3 linked regions of the Rattus norvegicus genome follow. The protein of the gene in region 2 interacts with the protein of the main gene of each other region in a pairwise test. Links are inferred from orthologs where the notes say so. Each region holds a gene or a part of one and is shown on either strand. Other genes may lie near its edges.

The links.
Region 1: the proteins of Efemp1 (region 2) and Ric8a interact in binary tests that used the Homo sapiens proteins (3 or more experiments, as listed by UniProt). The link is inferred for Rattus norvegicus from reciprocal best matches to the Homo sapiens genes EFEMP1 and RIC8A.
Region 3: the proteins of Efemp1 (region 2) and Khdrbs1 interact in a two-hybrid assay, tested with the Homo sapiens proteins (2 studies listed by BioGRID and IntAct). The link is inferred for Rattus norvegicus from reciprocal best matches to the Homo sapiens genes EFEMP1 and KHDRBS1.

What each region holds. Positions count from the first base shown.
Region 1 is NC_086019.1:205,363,860-205,367,607, reverse strand, and holds the start of Ric8a (synembryn-A), read right to left. Parts: upstream 2,813-3,748; 5' UTR 2,582-2,812; coding exon 2,498-2,581; intron 2,309-2,497; exon of another isoform or gene 2,210-2,308; coding exon 2,162-2,209; intron 2,073-2,161; coding exon 1,482-2,072; intron 1,186-1,481; coding exon 1,094-1,185; intron 623-1,093; coding exon 472-622; intron 1-471.
Region 2 is NC_086032.1:106,810,382-106,814,129, forward strand, and holds the start of Efemp1 (EGF-containing fibulin-like extracellular matrix protein 1 precursor), read left to right. Parts: upstream 1-1,482; 5' UTR 1,483-1,539; exon of another isoform or gene 1,540-1,604; intron 1,605-1,696; exon of another isoform or gene 1,697-2,157; intron 2,158-2,245; exon of another isoform or gene 2,246-2,286; 5' UTR 2,287-2,325; intron 2,326-2,710; 5' UTR 2,711-2,719; coding exon 2,720-2,800; intron 2,801-3,748. UniProt on the Homo sapiens protein: Binds EGFR, the EGF receptor, inducing EGFR autophosphorylation and the activation of downstream signaling pathways. May play a role in cell adhesion and migration. May function as a negative regulator of chondrocyte differentiation.
Region 3 is NC_086023.1:147,356,390-147,360,037, forward strand, and holds part of Khdrbs1 (KH domain-containing, RNA-binding, signal transduction-associated protein 1), read right to left. Parts: intron 1,187-3,648; coding exon 1,040-1,186; intron 1-1,039. UniProt on the Homo sapiens protein: Recruited and tyrosine phosphorylated by several receptor systems, for example the T-cell, leptin and insulin receptors. Once phosphorylated, functions as an adapter protein in signal transduction cascades by binding to SH2 and SH3 domain-containing proteins.

The sequences.
Region 1 (3,748 bases), on a different chromosome or scaffold from region 2:
CAGCCTGGTCTACAGAGTGAGTTGTAGGACAGCCAGGGCTACTGTCTCAAAAAAAAAAAAAAAAAACATAAAAAATAAAAAATGCAGAGGGACAAAACTGATGTCACCTCTGGCTGCCTATATATAGAAACAGTTGGAGGCTGAGGGTCACAAGCAAGAACCAAAGGCTTCTGAGAACCACTTAACAGGACCACAGAGACCTAAAAGGTAACTGTCACCTTAGTAGACCCTGAGAGGCTTGTTTTTCTTTGGTAATCAGCAGCAGCAGGGTTCACACACATGGTGTGTCCGCAAGCTTCTGAGAGGACCTGACTGAGCGGCCACCATCTAGCTATACCACGGAGAATCAGAAGACCTGTCCTGGATATACCATCAAGCTGAGCTCTACTTGCCAGTACCAATGGTGCAGAAACAGTAGCCATAACTGGTACCCAAGCCCCTGGGCATCCACATAGCAGGTCCCCCTCCTACCTGGTGCAGACGCTTCTCTAGGAAGGCAAGGAGGGCATTGATCACATCCATATTAACTCCCATAAACTCTAAGGATCCTTCGTGTAGCTCCAGAGCGAGAAGGACATCCAAACATTTGAGGGGCAGGTTCCCCAGGAGATTCACGGTGTGGCTGGGGACAGACAGAGGCCTTGACACAGTAACCATATTTAGCACAGATACAATCCCTGGCCCTTCTCCTGGGGTACACATGATATGTGGGCCCGAAGGATAGCACTGAGGCAAGGGCAGTTGGTACCCCAACTCGAGTTTGGTGGGGAAACACTGTAGACTCTATCTGCACCATTCTGTCTGAGCTGAGATGCCAAGCAATCTCTCAGTTTCGAGAGACTGGCTGAGGCACCAGCAAGAGACCATGCGGCCTCCACCTAAGGCCCTGTCTCTAAGTTCAAAACTCTTCTTAGTCATACCCTGAGTTCCCTAGGCTCTCTGAAAACACACCGGGATCCCGTTCCCCATGATGTCACACTCAAAGGTGGGGCCCGGGCTCCCAGGTGCTTGAGTCACAGCTAGGGTTAAGGACTTCTGTACCCATACCTAGGCAACTCCTGCCATCCCCAACATAGTAAGTCCTGCTCCTCACCCATGGAACTCCTCTGTGCGGTCTCCAGCAGCATCAGCCATCACACAGTGCCGCAGAAGGGTCCCCAGGTACCGGTAAAGGGCAGCGTCCTCCTAGCCAAAGACGGAAAGGGGCTCCCGTGAGAATAAGACCCTATTCTTATGACCCAAGGCCACATGGTGATCACTAGGCCCTGTCCACAGCACACTTGGTCACCTGAAGCATTATGGAGAATACCCGTCCCCAGCCCCATGCACAACACAGCTCAGAAACCTTGAGTTCCTGCCTAGATTGTCCTCTAGTCCTTGCCATATCCGACACCCTGCAACTTGAGGCACACAGGGAAGCAAACCCACAAAATGCCCCAGCTGAGCTGAGTCCCACCCATTGACTTCAGACTACAACCTACCTCATCAACCTCCCTCTTAACAGAGTCGTAGGTGATGTTAAAGAGCACTTTGAGGATTTCCATGGCCCGCTCTGTCTCTTGGGCTGGAAGTATCACCAGAGGGTTTTCTTTGGGGGCCACACCCAATGTCAGTTCCAGCGCATCGGTCAGCAGGCGCACGCCATGCAGCTCCTGAAACAGCTGCTGGCGCACATCAGTGCGAAGGGCTGTTAGCAGGAAAAGGAGCCTTAAGTCAAAGAACTGGACTTCGTGGGGATAGCTCCTTTTGCGGTACAGTCCCACACGTTCCGCTAGCCTCACCACCAGTCGAGCCTCTGCTGCTAGCATCTGTGCTGTAGGACTGCTGAGCACAAGATTACACAGGCATTTGAGAGACTCGAGGAGGACATCCATGTCTGGGGGCTGTGGGATGGGCTCCTCTGAGATGGCAATGTCGGCATAGCAGGCTAGTGCGTGTAAACTCTGGCGGCTAGCAAATGAGTCCAGGCAGCTGCGGTCTCGGGATAGGATTCGGATAGTCTGCAGCCAGGTGACACGGTGTTTTGGTGACAAGCCCTGCTCCAGTACGGAGACCAGCAGCTTTGCGAGTCTCTGTGGGAAGGGACAAAAATGGTTCCACTAGGCCCTCTTCTTGGGGCAGCCCGTGCTTGCCCTAGGAACCCCCTTGGGCTGACACCTACCTTCCTGTCCTCCTGCTGTGCATCATCGAAGGTGAAGCTCTGGGAATGCTGCAGGGAGACCCAGGAAGCTCAGTTCCACACGCAGGTAGGACCTGTGCTCCTCGAGAAGCAGCAGGTCTGCTTCTACCTCTGAAGCAGCAGCCATCGCTGTGTACGTAAAGCAAGGCCCACCCTCGCCACCCATACACCTGACTACCACAGAGGCACCGCCGTGGCCCAGCCCACCACCCACCGCCCTGCTCCCTGCCACACTCGCACGCACACCCCAGCCGAGTGGCGAGCAACCGGCTGCTTCCTCACTTCCTGCAATTTCCTCGGCAGCTGGATGCCTCTCACCTCTCGGTTAAACGACCGCAGAGCTTCTGTCACCGCATCTTCCTCTCCCGTCTCCAAGGCATCCGCAACTGCCCGGGGCTCCATGGCCCCTGGCACGGGGTGCTAGAAGACTTGGGCTGGGAAGACGCAATCGGCCAAACCCGGGGACTCCGCCCAGGTCCGGAAGCCCAGCGTCCACGCGTGAGGAATGCTGGGAGAACAGCCGAGCCTAGGGTGTGTACAGGCGCGGGGCTGGCCTCCGGCTTAAGGTGGAGCAACCCGGCTGTGGCCGCTGAGCGGCTTGTCTTGGAGCAGCGATGCTAGCTAACTAAGCAGTATCCTCCTTTTGAGCCCTTCTCTCTAGCCCGACTTCCTGGCGGGCGGGGGTGGGGAGTGGGGTGTGGCTTGGCCGGCGCGTAAACCTTTCTCCTTACACTCTTGTTCCCGTACTGTGATAAAAGAGGGAGCGCCGGCTCCTGGCCGCTTAGTCAGTTGGGGAAGACGATTCTCGCGGTCATCTTCCTGATGCTCATCTTCCACGGGAAATAAGGAAAGAGAAGTACGACTTGGATGGTCAAAATAATGTACGTGGTTAGCCGGGCATAGTAACGCACGCTTTTTTAAATTTCAGCACTCGAGAGGCAGAAACGGGCAGACCTATCTAAAAACAATCAAAAAACCAAACCACCAAAATAATGTGGTTATCAAAAGAAAAGGGCAATTGCAGAGTGTATGAGGAAGGATCGGAGAGAAGGAAGTGAAGAACACCGGTGGAAAAGCGACTCCCGCGGGAGGAGCAACGGAGGGGCGGCTAGCCGCGGCGTGTCTGGGGTTAGAAGCGTAGGAACGTTGTATAGTGGGGAGCCAGGTCTGCATGCCACTTAGCTTAAGGCAGAGTCGGTGCACCCCACGGTGACACAAGCAATGTTCCAGAGGATAATGCCGCCCGCTGTGCTAACCGGCGCTTGCCTCTACTCAGTGTCAGGTCCTTTGCCAGTCTCTTTCGCTTCTGCTCGTCCTCCCCATCCTGTCGTTCTCACTTGGGGACTTTGCAGCGCCCGAGGTACCCGACCCTCGGCTCCAGGTTGGGGTCTGAGCTCCTGCTCCGGGTAATACCCACAGCGCGGGACTAATACTGCTGACCAATCCGTAGGCCCGAATGCTGGCGGCCCGCCCTTCCCTTATTTACATTCCAGTGTAGAACTACAAGTCTGTTTCTTCCGCTTCAGACTCTTCTCCCGGAAGTTATTAGACCTGAGGCGGAACCGGAAG
Region 2 (3,748 bases):
AGATGGTGAAGCTGAGGGGTGGAGCAGCCTGAGGAAGAGGACGAGGCTGGAACGTGTTCAGTCTGAAGTGCCCAACAGATGTCTAAATTAAGGCAGCGAACCAGCAAGTGGGTGTGCAAAACAATCGCTGGACTGCAGATAGATGACTGGAAGCTTGTAACTTCATTGCTCCAAAGAAAGAGTCGAAATGAGTTTAAATAAGCAAACACACAGGGAGAAATTTTTATTGTATAGAAACAGAGAATCTACTTTTTCAAAGAAAAGCAGTTTGGGGTCACTGATGACTAGTAGGGTTAGGGAACTTACTAGAAACTTAGTAGTAAATGCCTTTGCTACAATCACCAAAGCCTTCCATACTTTGTAAGTTCTGCAGATCTGATCCTGTCCAGTACTGGATGACTTGTTACCACACCAATGTTTACTTAACCCACCCACCAGGAAGAGAGAAGAGCAGCGACCACCTAACTGCTGCTCTCCAGCAGTCTCTACCAACTCACCACTTCCACAACCTCTGCAGTCCGCCCCGGACAGGACAGTCATTAGCAGGTTCTGTAGTTCTCAAATTGCGTTTGGTGATTTGGTTCTTTAAAGGCACACCTGCAGCCAAAGGGAAATAACTGCCTAACTATGGGGCGGGAGAGGCTATCAGAAATAGCTGCAATCTGTGTGGTATGACTTGATGAAGGGGGTGGGGGATTCTCTCTTCAGATTCCTGAAATTCCACCATTATTATGGAAGATGCAAGAAAAATGCCTAACTTAACTTTGGATGGGCAGTAATCCGGAGAAATAAGAAACCGTAGATGAGACAAGAAGGAGATGAGTTAAAAGACTAGCACATTACACACGCACGCACACACATGCGTGCATACATGTACACATGCAGCACGCACACATGCTCACATGCAACATGCGCGCGCACACACACACACACACACACACACAGGGTGGGGGGAACGGCACATACCCCAGGATGGCATATATTTTGTTAGGATGAGTTCCACTTGGTCCACTCCTAACACCTAGCACCTGGTAGGCCCAGAATGCATTCATTTTCACCTTTCACCATTTGAGAAAGCAGACAGAACGCACCTCCCCTCCAAAAATAAAAATCCGAGATGAAAAATAAAGGACCAGTTCTGTTAATAGCCTTAATTTACTCTCCCAGGAATCACTTGTTGAGATAAAAAGGAATTTAAGCCATTCCTGTAGAGCCTAAAAGCTCGACGGGAGTGATATTTAGACAGCTCTTGTATCTCAAATTCCTGTGAATCAGGGGACCAAGGGGCCTACTGCAGAAGACAGCTGGGCCCCCAGACCCCAAGCCAAGAGGCGCGCCTTCCCGCATGGTTGGAAGCCTGGGCAGGGCGCTTGCGCCTCCCTCTCTCTCCTCCGCCCCCCTTCGCCCTACTTCTCCTCCCTTTCTCCTCCTCCTGTGGCTGCTGCTGCTGCCAGACCTCGCCAGTTCAGACCCACCAGACTGCCCTCCCCTGCGCACTCCTTCGCTGCCGGGGCTGGATTGCCGCGCGGCTCCCCGCAGGTAGGAGCCCCCAGCCAAGGTCGCAGAAGTGCATTGTACCGGCAGGGACTGTACCGGGAAGTGTGGTGGGTTGACCCAAGAACTGTCCCTGACTGTGCAACTGGGCAGAGAAGATGGAGGTGGAGGTGCGGGTCTGGGATAGCAATCTGTCAGTTTGTGCTAGTACTTGGGTGACATTTGTTGGGATGGGCAGAGTATGCGAGCTGATTCTCAACACAGAGAGTTTTGCTGGTGACCATGGTCTCTAGGTTCAGCGACTGATGTACTTGAAAGGCACCTGGATTGCCCAGAGGCTGGCTAAAAGTTAAAGGGCTCAGCAATTCCTGCTGGCAGGCGCCTAGTAGCTTGCATCTAAGAATGCTGAGCTCACTGCCCTGCAGACACCAGGCTAGGCACCTCAAAATTGGTACCCAGTGCTGCAAAGCGGTCTGAAGTCCGACCTTAGACAGCCTAGAGCCTATGCATAGCACATTTTGAGACCTGAGAACGATGGAACAAGGGATCAGCGACTTTGAGCTGCTGGTCTCCGAAGTCCTGAGCTTGGAAACAAAGTTGTACGTGAGCGCGCGCGGATGGAAATGGAGCTTTAAGGGTGGGGACTAGAGAAGTCACCCTGCGGTGAGTGTGAATCCCTGTAGGGTATTCTATCAGGAACTAAGAGATCGCTCTTCCAGTTTTGTTTGGGTATTTTGAACTTTTCTTAAAGGGCAATAAAGTCTGCGGCCACGTGACTGTACTGGTTTGCAGGTATCTTTTGCTGAGCTGGGCACGGAACTTCAGCTAGAGGTGAGCCTTGCATGGGCACTCTACAGTTTCCAAAAACAGACAGATGCTGCGGCCCTATTTCCACTTCCGAGGGGACAAAGGGATGGAAATGATCACATTCTCTATCCCCTTTGACTACTGTTGTTTCCTGGAGCCTAATGAGTAGTATAAACACACGCCGAACAACCCTGGTACAGGATGGTTGGAATGAAGTAATACAGTTCTGCAGTAGCTTCTTCTCCTGTCTTGCTTATTTGTTGGCTGGGGTGGGGGTGAGATAGCAGACTGGAAATTAGGTATCTTGGGCTTCCCACACTCCTTTTTTTTTTTGCCTGTTTCTTCACTGATAAAGTTTGGATTTTCTGTGTAGCTAATACTAAACGTCTCTTTGTCCCATTTCCCTTAGAGAATCACGATGTTGCAAACAGTTTTCCTAACTATGCTGACTCTGGCTCTGGTCAAGTCACAGGTCACGGAGGAAACCATTACATACACGGTAAGAGGTGATGGAATTGTATTGGAGTGTATTGAGTGGTAGTCTATGATACAAGACTTGACCAGTTTCTGCCAGGGTAAGTAGGCAGTACTCTGTGAAGCAAAATAAATTAAACAACACTTTAAGATGATTCAGATTTAAGATTCCTGATAAATTGCTCTGGGTCCTTTCAAAGGTGCGTTTAGCTCACCAGCTGGGGTAGGAATCAAACTAGAATGGTTTGTACAAAGCCAAAAATTGACTCTATTAAAATTCAAATCTATGTAAGCTGCATGTTTCTAACCACTCAATGAATTGATGGGTTTGAGGACTCTGGATGCCTGGGTACATTCAGATGCAATTGGTTCGTGCAGAGTAACACTCAGATCAAATAAAAGTGTATTTTATAAGTTCTCATCTGTGCCTATCCCCGTGAAGTGCTCCTTCTCGGATTCATGAAGGCTATCTATTCATGTAGGAATACTACAGATAGTTTACCTGTCACTGGGAGACAGCATTTGCTAAAGTAGATTTAAAACACACTGTGTGCATCCTGGTCTTGCAACTTCTATCTGCATCTCTGGCAATTTTCAGTCACATTTGGTCAGTTAGTTGCATCAGTATAACCAATGTTGAATAAAATATTTAAAATATCATCTGACCCCTCCCACTGCCCAAAATATACCTGACAGTAGGGGGCAAAGCAGGGCTTACCTGACTGGGGTGAGGCCAGTTCCTCTGTGTTGTTTTCTAACTCAAGGTAAGTGTTCTCAGATGAATGACATTTGTCCCGGGTGAGCATATGGAAAACACATTTTCCCACTTCTTTCCAATTCTTAAAATTAAGTAATCCTATTCAAAAGAATGCAAATGTTTTTAGAGTAAAACTCAGAAGTGAGCTAATATCAATTACTAATAATAAACATTATCTCACTTTTGCATCATGTTATCCCTAGAATAGTATTACCC
Region 3 (3,648 bases), on a different chromosome or scaffold from region 2:
CTAGATGAAGTCTCAAGTCAAAATTCTTTGATGTCGAATTACACTGTCAGTTCTTTGAAGAAAGACTTGACAGCAGACCCTCACTAATGAAGTTCTTCAGAAGGTGCTTCCTTCCTAGCTCTCCCTTGACCACTCCTATCTTTATACACAAACTTTCTCAAGACAAGCCAAACCACCTAGAACTCGTCACCTACACTAGAGTCCAGTCTCCAGAGACTTCATTATGTATTTGGAAAAACTCCAAAATCTGAGGGGAGGGGGGATTCCCAAACACTAAAGGAGAGTTCACACAATTGACACTTAACCTGTTCTATAACCAGGTGACTCTTAGGAATCTACACCGTTTTCTAAGCATGGTGGAACACATCACTAATCACAGCACTTGGGAGGCAGAGGCAGGCAGACCTCTGTAAGCTGGAGACCAGCCTGGTCTATACAGTGAGCTCTAGGCCAGGCAGAGATGTACAATGAGACCCTATCTCAAACAAAACAAAAACCAACAACCACAAAAACCAGAGAAAATTAAATGCCATCAATAGTCATGCCTGTACCATACAGCTCTTCTGAACCAGACTCTGAGTAAGAAATCTCCACCGGAAGCTCCCTTCATTGCCTCAGTAGAAATTAGCTCATTAGCACTGGGTGCTCTAAGTTTCCGGCTGTTAACTCTAGACTGAAAAGTCTAGCACACATGCTCCTTAACTGAGGACCTACCCTTAGGTCGTTTTCCTAATACCATCTCCTGGTTCCACAGTAGTACCAGAAGAATGAATTAAATGAAGACCTTATTAAATCTGTTAACCAAATTGTTAACACATCAAGGACCCAAGAGACTGACAACAGATAGTAGCACATATTAATGAAGCCACATTAGACATGGAGGCCTTGGAGTACAATGCTTTGAGAATGAGAAATGAGTAGTGGGAGAAGCTTGGCAAAGTAAACAGAAGCACAGACCCTGGTCAAGAACCACAGCCTCTCCAACATTACAATCTTACTTTCTCCCTGCTTAGAGGATAGAGAATATGTATTTCCTTACTGGTACTAGAAATTTCTTGACTTCTTCCATAGCATGGGCCATAAGAGCATAAGCTTCACATGGGGGTCCAAAGACTTCAATGAAGACATGCAGATCCATATTTAAATGGGCATATTTGGGGTCTCCACCCTTGCGCAACTCTTCCTCCTATGGGAACAAGCAAAGAAATATCAACTCATATACAGACTAAACAAATACAGTATCTTCACATGTAAGTCAAAGAGAATAGCTTAAAAAACAAAACAAAACCCTTAAGCAAGTCCTAGAACTGATACTACCTGTTAAAACTGTAACTGATGTAGTGATTTAAATATGCTTGGCCAATGGGTACTATTAAGAGGTGTGGCCTTTTTGGGATAGGTATGACTCCCCCCCATTTTTTTTTTTTTTTTTTGGTTCTTTTTTTTGGAGCTGGGGACCGAACCCAGGGCCTTGCGCTTCCTAGGCAAGCGCTCTACTACTGAGCTAAATCCCCAACCCGCCCCCATTTTTATTAAATTGGGTATTTCTTATTCACATTTCAAATGTTATTCACTTTCCTGGTTTCCTGTCCATCATCCCCCTAATCCCTCCCACTCCCCTTCGATAAGGGTGTTCCCCTCCCCATCCATTCCCCCTTACTGCACCACCCCCACACACAATCCCCTACACTGGGGGGGTCTAACCTTGGCAGAACCAAGGGCTTCCCCTTCCACTGGTGCCCCAACAAGGTTATTCACTGCTACCTATGCAGTTGGAGCCCAGGGTCAGTCCTAGGGATAACCTTCTAAGAGGAAGTATGTCACTGTGTAGGTGGGCTTTGAGGGTTTCTAGTGCTCAAGCTCCTCCCAGTGTAGAACAGAGTCTCCTAAGATGTAGAACTCTCAGCTCCATCTCCAGCACCACGTCTGCCTACACACGGCCATGCTTCCCAAGATGATAATGGACTGCACCTCTGAAACTGTAAGCCAGCCCCAATTAAATGTTTTCTTTTATGAGTTGCCTTAGTCATGGTGTCTCTTCACAGGAATAAAATCCTAACTAAGCTACTTGGTTGCCTGTTTCCTTAAACCACTGAAGTGTTCCCTGCAGTAAATTAAAACTTAATTTTAGAATCCACTCAGGTTAACAGTTGTTTGCTCAGTATTTAGTGTATGAATGCACGTATGCACTCATGGCCAAGCACTAGTCTTTAAATTCATTAGTACTCTTTATCACCACTGGCCTTGCTAAAGTGTTTACTGTCCAGGAGTTCCAAGGAAGGGACAAAGTCAGGACAGACAAGAAAATCTTTTAGAAATCTCATTAACAAAAATAACACACTTCAGACTCGTTCTATGTATCCAGTGTGAAAGGTAAAGGACAAAAGAAAAAGATGAGGAAAATAAGACCTATCAATTAAACTACCTAAAAGTTAGGCCCTCAAAAATATTTTTCTAGGGGTTGGGGATTTAGCTCAGTGGTAAGGCACTAGCCTAGCAAGCGCAAGGCCCTGGGTTCAGTCCCCAGCTCAAAAAAAAAAAAAGGAAAAAATATTTTTCTAGATTTATCAGTTAAGTCTTATCTAAGGGTAAACTATTACATGTGCTAAAAGTTTCTTGTCAATTGATTGCACACTGGGTAGAGTGCTGTGGAATGGAAAATAAAAAATAAAAACCCTTAAATAGGTTTTCTTTGTCAGGATAAGTCATGTTTAACTTTGGAATCTATCATTTTAGTAGGTCTTACATTCCTGTTGGCTAGATTTCAAATGATCTAACCCCAAACTCACCAGCATTGAACACGTATTCCCTGTCACTGGGAAAAAAGGTGCACTACTCACATTTTAATGTCTTCCATTGGGGCTGGAGAGATGGCTCAGTGGTTAGGAGCACTGACTGCTCTTCCAGAGGTCCTGAGTTCAATTCCCAGCAACCACATGGTGGCTCACAACCATTTGTAATGGAACCCGATGCCCTCTTCTGGTGTGTGTCTGAGGACAGCTACAGTGTACTCATATATAATAAATAAATAAACCTTAATGTCTTCCATATGGTTAAGTTTACTAAGTTCTCATTTCAAATTTCAAGAGGCAGTCTTACCAACGCCAACAATGCTACTTAATTATACCATAATATCATAATGCAGTCAAAAGAAAAAAACAAAAAAACAAAACAGAAACAAAAATGCTGGAGAGACAGATAGCTTAATGGTAAATAGCACTGAGTTCAATTCCCAGAACCCTCATGATGGCTTCTGTCTATAACTGTAGCCCTGTGGGATCTGATGCTCTCTTCTGGTGTGTAGATGTAAATGCACACAAAACAACCATATACATAAAATAAACACATTAAAAGGGGGAAGGGAACCATTAGGACATATCCTAGGCTCTTTCCAACAGTGCCAGTGAGTACTAACATGCAATGAAAGCTTGCATCAGTCATTGTATGCTGTGGGGGTGGGGCACAGTGGTGCATGTCTTTAACCCTAGCACATGGGAGGCAGAGGCAGGCAGATCTTTGATACCAGCCTGGTCTTTACAGCAAGTTCCAGGCCAGCCTGGATACACAGTGGGACACTGTATCTCAACAGCTCCCAAATAAACCTCCCAATGTTTGCTTGCATAGCATCCGTATCAGGCACTGGACAAC